2 linked regions of the Cricetulus griseus genome follow. The protein of the gene in region 2 interacts with the protein of the main gene of each other region in a biochemical or structural test. Links are inferred from orthologs where the notes say so. Each region holds a gene or a part of one and is shown on either strand. Other genes may lie near its edges.

Region 1 (3,753 bases), on a different chromosome or scaffold from region 2:
GGCGAGCCCGATCTGCAGGCAATCAGGAGCTGCTTCTGGGCCGGGGCCCTCAGACCACTGAGCCCGATGAACAGACAATTTTCAATCAGTGCTTCCTCCTGCCCATCCCACGGCCCTGGCCGAGCTGCCCACTGCCACTGGCGTCCTGGCTGCTTCTCCCAGCTTCTCAGAAAGCCATTTTATTTGGATTTCACACACACCAAAGCAGAGAGGAGGTGACTGTGGGGCTGGCCCTGCTAGGTCTGGGATGGAGTCTCTGCCTCCCCACCAGGCGGTCCCCAGCCTCCCAGGCTTGTCACCATCTGTGAGCTGAGTGGGGTGTCTGTCAGGCACCACGGGGTAAGAGGACCTAAGGGTCACGGGACGGGAGCCCACATGGAACCTCAGTGAGGTAGTCTATCGCCTGAGGCCCACACGGGTCCTGCTGAGGTAAAATTTGTAAGTTTATTTCAGGGACGCGGGTCAGGACTCCTCGGTGCCAGAGTCGTCCTCTTCGTCCCCAAAGCAGCTGTCGGCCTCCTCCACTTCGCCGTCCTCATAGTAGTCATCGTAGAAGAGGTCTGAGCCCTCGTCGGGCGCCGGCGCCTTGGTCTTCACACAGTACTCAGCCAGCGTGGTGGGCACCTTCACGCCATCACGCTCTGCGTCCACCTTGGTCCCCAGGACCTGCTTCCTAGGGAGACAGGGGAGGTGAGGCCGTGGCCCAGGCAGGATTCCAAAGACAATGGATAGAGGGTGAGAGGGTGGAAGGAAGGGGCTAGGAGACAATGGGTGACTCAGTGACCAGCTTCCAGGCAGGAAAGTAACCACAGCCAAGTGCAGGACACAGGCCTATCGCCTGGCACTTGGAGGCTGAGGCCGGAAGCTGCTGTGAGTCTGGGGCCAGCCTGGGCCACTGCAGGGCCAGAGAGGATGCAGTAAGAGCACGTGTTGTGCAAGCACAGGACCCACGCTCAGTTCCTAGTACCCACACTGGCTGCATGGCAGCTCTGGGCCTGCAATTCCAGGCAGACAGTGACAGAGCAGGACACCAGACTTTGTCCCTTGGTTTCTTATGTATGCACCCACTCACACACCACACCGACACCAAACAAACTCCCAAATTGCAGGCCTAGCCGAGGCACTGTGAAGGCCAGTGCCGGAGGCCTACGGTTGGGCCTGGGGGAAGTGACAGGGACACCAGTCTGGCTTGGCTTCACTCTGAAGCAATAATCTGCAAGAGCTTCCCTGCACAAGGGCAGCAATTAACTAAAGAAATCAGGCCTGGGCTAGAGCCTCAGGTGCCCTGAGGGGCCAGGCTGTCCTCAGGGTGCAGGTCCTGATGGGAAAGGTGAAGAGTAGGGCAGACGCCGGTCTTAGCTTCCCATGGAGAAGGGAGTGTGAGACATTGTTGGAGGGGCATCTACCACAATGCATCATAACAGCCTAGACCTGTCTCAAGGCTCTTCCCACAGGCTTCCAGCTGGCGTGTCGCTGTGTCTAGACACTGGCTCTTAGGCTGAGTTCCAGGAGTAGTACAGGGCCTCCTCATGGTCATAGCAAGTGGCTCCTGGAGTCAGAATGGTAAAAATAGCCTGGGGCTTCTGCTCTGGGACAGGGACACAGCAAGGAAGCAGCAAGGAACTGGATCAAAGGCTGCCAGGAGGCAGGGGATCCAGACCCAAAGCTTTCACTGGTGCCACACCCAATGGTGCCCTGTGCACAGCAGAGTCCAAGGCAGCCTGTCAGACACCATTATGTCCCAACTGTCAGGCTGACAGGAAGTGGGTGGTGGAAAGGGCTCAGTGTAGCCATGGCAAACTCAAAGCTTAAAACATTTACTTACAAATGACAGACAAAACAGCCAACAACAACAAAAGGCCATAACTAAGCCACATGGTGGTGGCACTTGCCTTTAACCCTAGCACTCAGGAGGCAGAGGCAGGTGGGTCTCCGAGTTTGAGGCCAGCTTGGTCTACATGGCTAGTTCCAGGACAGCTAGGGCTACATATTAAGACTTTGTCTCAAAAAACTAAGAAAAGAAACCCCATAGGACATCTTGCCTTCTTCCCACCTGGGGATGGGCAGGACAGCTGAGCAGAGGACAGAGGAACAGGGCTGCTCAACACTCAGACATTCCCAAATAACTAATACCTCCACACAGGACCACGGCAGCTACACAGTAGAGGGGAGGCCTAGGCACATCTTATTCTGAGGCCAGAGACCCTGGTCCAGGGTCTTGCTGTTCCAGCACTGATCACCAAGCTGCAGTCTGTGTCAATTCTGAGAAGTCAGGCCTGGCTTCTGCAGGACAAGGCCCAGGGGCCCCTGCAGTCCATGGCTGCAGGCTGACATGTGTGGCTTGCTCAGCATGCCTGCTGATGGGCCCAGGCCACTGCCAGTGTGGGAACAATACAGGCCTGTGTGTTTGGGTCACCGTGTGTGGACAAGCACCTGTCCTCCTGCGTCAGTGCTGAGGCAGGGGACTGCTGGTTGTGAGGTGTTATGTCACCCTGGCACCAGGAGGGAACTTGAGAGGAGGAGGATATGGGGTTACAGGAAAGCCTGTCTCAGAAAACAGAGAGAGAAGTCAAGTGACCAGGCCTGGGAATGTGGGAACCGGCATGGACATTTAGCAGGGCTGAGAGGCTGTGGGGCTTGACATTTGCCTAGAATCCTGCAAGTGCAATCTCACACCCTGCTTTAGGGGTATAAGGGAGACCACCTGACCCCCAAACAAGCCAGGAACCCCTGCTGAAAAGTGATGATGGATATGGAGATTGTCATATTGGCTCCTGAGGACAGGTCACAGTAGGCTGTGACCTTCCTCCTTTGCAAAAAGGCTCTAAGTTTCGGAACCACAAATACAAGCAATGCTTACAGAGGCAGTTGAGGATGTGGCCTATAAGTGCCCCAGTCACCCATGAAGACAAGCCAAAGAAAGGCTCTTGGCCATCTTGGGTGGTCTACTTGGTGCTCTGGGCACACAGTCCTGTTCTTTCCCTCTCCAAGCTCAGGATGCATGATTGGAAACACAACAGTTGCCACCCCAGGGAGCAGCTGTGCTATAGGGGAACAGAGAAGAGCTGACATGGGAAGGGGTTTGTGTTGTGCTCTGTGGTGTGTACCCCCCGCACCGTGATTTCGAGACAGGGTTTCTCTGTGTAGCTTTTGGAGGCTGTCCTGGCACTCGCTCTGTACACCAGCCTGGTATCAAACTCACAGAGATCCACCTGTCTTTGCCTCCCGAGTGCTGGGATTAAAGGCATGCGCTACCACCGCCCGGCAACACAGATGACTCTTACAGCAAACAGTTATCTATTACAAAGAGGCCCTGCGGCAGCGCTGTCCGGCATGACCGGCACTCACCGGATGATGTCTGTGTACTCGCGGTCCTTCCCCTTGCTCTCCTTCCACTTTCTGTACATCACTGAGGCGTCCACATTGGCGGGCGAGAAGGTGTTGGGCTCATTCAGCAGGGAGATCACACTCAGGAGGATGGTCCTGTGGGGCCGTGAGTGCAAGCTCAGCTCCCTACAGACCCTGGGGACCCCAGACAGGTGGAGCAATAAAGGAGGGACAGGGGCAGGGTGTTTTGGAGTTCCCTTGGTGTGAGGACACATGCAGCTCACCTGACATTCTGCGTGGGGTTCCACCGCTCTGAGGGCAGCTCCCCACTCTGTGGGTCGTCAACTGGGGGATGGAGGATGGAGATGCACACGTCCCCTGTCTGCAAGAATGAAGGGCTAAGATGAGGTGTGGGGCATGTACGAG
Region 2 (2,545 bases):
TTCAGGGCCCCTTTCAAGCACCTTCTCAAAATCAATGGGGTACATCTTAAATCCTGATAACTTGTCTGGGCTGGGCAATGTAGCTTTGAGCTCTTCAAGACGGCTGTCATCTGCACAAAAAGAAAAATCCGGTCCTTTAGATGCAGGGAGTGAGGATAAAAGCTATATAGGGCAAAAGGAATTCAGTTAGATAGAGAATCTAGAGAGAGAGAGAGAGAGAGAGAGAGAGAGAGAGAGAGACAGAGAGAGAGAGAGACAGAGAGAGACAGAGAGAGAGAGAGACAGAGAGAGAGACAGAGAGAGAGAGACAGAGAAAGAGATCCTAGAATGAAGGGTCAAAGGGGAAAGGAAAACAACAGAGAGCAAACCTGAAAAGGGCAGGAGCAGAGGCTATCAAGATCTGGAGAGAGACTAGGAGCAGAAACAAAGACAGTAAGACAAAGTGGAGGTGAGGTAGTGATCAGATAGAAGGGGTTGTCAGTCTTGGGGAGATATTGTATATAGAGACACAGAAGACATGGTGGGAATATGGGGAAGTATACAAACAAGGATAGGAAGGATCTGAGAAGGTGGAGAATATATGAAAAGAGGAATGATGAAGGATGAGATAGGGAGGAGGAAACATGAGAAAAAAGTCAGAGGGAACCTGTGCAGGAGGTAGAAGAAAAGACTAAAGGAAATACACAAAGAACATGAAACAGGTATTTTAGAAGATGGAGAAAAGGTAAAGTCAATACAGGGGAGGTGGTATACAGAACTATAAACACATTACAGATATCCAAAAGGGAAGGCAGGAGGACTAAATTCTGATGGACAACATTAGGGTTAAGACAGACAGAGATGGGAGGGATGCATGGATGGGGAGACATGGGACATCTGGAAGGAAACAAAGTAGGCAAGAATCAGGAGGAGACCCCTGTTGGAGATCATACCTCCTAGATGAACAGATCAAGGAGAGACAGAGGAAAGAATAAAACCAAGGCAAATATACACCAAGCAAGAACAAAGTTTGTTTTCCTGGTTGCTAGAGTGGGAAAGAGGAGGGAGGGAGGGAAGTGCAAAGGAAGGTGAGGTCACAGAGCTACTAGAAGAGGACTAATGGGGAAACTAGAGACAGGGACTTCTGACCAAATAGCCAAACACCCTCACCAACAGAGGCACTGGCGCTCTGCAACTCCTGGTCAGAAACATGGATCTTGACACCAGACTTGGGGGTGAACTCTGGAACTTGTACGGACTGCAGAAGTGAGGCCACAGCAGCTCGGTCTTGAGAGCCAGTCAACCCATAGGTCTGGGCAAAAAGGTTGGCAGCAGCCATCACATAATCCAGATGCAGTGTCTAGGGGAGGGCAGGGCACAATAGGGTTAATACATTTGCCCTTGGATAGGAAGTCACCACCTCCTTCCCACCCACCCATCCTCTACCTGATCCCAGGAAAACCCAACAAGGAGACTTACATTGTTAACATCGAAAGTAAGTGGATGTGGACAACGTTTAGGTCCAGACCAGAATGGGGCCCCTGAGCTGGTAAGCTAAAACAAAGAGAGTTTCAAGAAGCAGATCTTGAAATGAAGGCCTCTCTGACAATCCTGACTGGCTTTGGATGCGCCCCAACTTGCTACCCTTGGCTGGGTCCCTGGAAGGGCTGGAATCAATCATCTAAGATCCACACTGCAAGGTCCTGGCTGAGAAAGCCACCACTAATTCTTACTTTCTTCACAAACCTCTTTAGCAGAGGACTGGATCACCAGGCATGTACATAGTATTAATAAATACCAGTGAAACATCACAACTGTTCCTCCTTGTAGCTAAAGAAAGGAACAGAGAGAAGTGACTTGCCCAAGTTCAGAGAGAGCTGGGATTTGAATACATGTTTACTCCTGTCCTCCCAAGTCCAGAATCTCTACTTCATGGTCCACTACAGCCCTGACAAAAATCAGGTCAGACTTGGCCTACACTGCAGGGAAGGGGAACAGCAAGAGAACCAATCATCTTGCTCCAAGGAATGAGGTCACTCCTTGGACATTCCTTGGACAAAAAAGTTATTCTTCTGACATCTCTTGCCTTGGACACCAGCCATGTCTGAACTAGTAACTAGGAGGAGTCACTTGAAAAGAGTCTGCAGCAAACTGCTCGCAAGACAGTGCATGCTGCCAAATGGGACACGAGTGGACATTACCTGGTCGGGAGGAAAGTTGTGCAGCAGTTGCCGGATGTTGTTACAGTACTGGGTGTGCCAGTGGTGGCAGGCCCAGGTCACGCAGTCACCCCAAGTCTGTGGTCGCTGCAGCACCAGGCTGCGCTGCACAGCCTCCAGCACCTCCAATGGCTGGGTACCCGCCAGCCGCAAGGTCCGTTCCACAAACTTGGGGTCTCTATTAGGGAGTGAATGGCCCAGGGGCAAGATTATACAATGCCCCCCCCCCCAGGAAAGTAGGCTCTAGGGCAATCCCACTTTCTCCACAGAAAACTCGTCTTGATTCTTCCACAGCATGAGACTTGAACATTTAGAGTCCTTTGAAAAAAGTGTACCTAGTGCAGAGG

Evidence for each region. The genes of interacting proteins can lie anywhere in the genome.
Region 1: of the proteins of Uba1 (region 2) and Cdc34, one has a biochemical effect on the other in vitro, tested with the Homo sapiens proteins (7 studies listed by BioGRID, with this or other methods). The link is inferred for Cricetulus griseus from reciprocal best matches to the Homo sapiens genes UBA1 and CDC34.

What each region holds. Positions count from the first base shown.
Region 1 is NC_048598.1:100,496,282-100,500,034, reverse strand, and holds the end of Cdc34 (ubiquitin-conjugating enzyme E2 R1), read right to left. Parts: intron 3,710-3,753; coding exon 3,612-3,709; intron 3,523-3,611; coding exon 3,349-3,522; intron 674-3,348; coding exon 463-673; 3' UTR 164-462; downstream 1-163. UniProt on the Homo sapiens protein: E2 ubiquitin-conjugating enzyme that accepts ubiquitin from an E1 ubiquitin-activating protein, and catalyzes its covalent attachment to other proteins by an E3 ubiquitin-protein ligase complex. In vitro catalyzes 'Lys-48'-linked polyubiquitination.
Region 2 is NC_048604.1:125,487,799-125,490,343, reverse strand, and holds part of Uba1 (ubiquitin-like modifier-activating enzyme 1), read right to left. Parts: intron 2,377-2,545; coding exon 2,181-2,376; intron 1,534-2,180; coding exon 1,459-1,533; intron 1,340-1,458; coding exon 1,150-1,339; intron 111-1,149; coding exon 22-110; intron 1-21. UniProt on the Homo sapiens protein: Catalyzes the first step in ubiquitin conjugation to mark cellular proteins for degradation through the ubiquitin-proteasome system.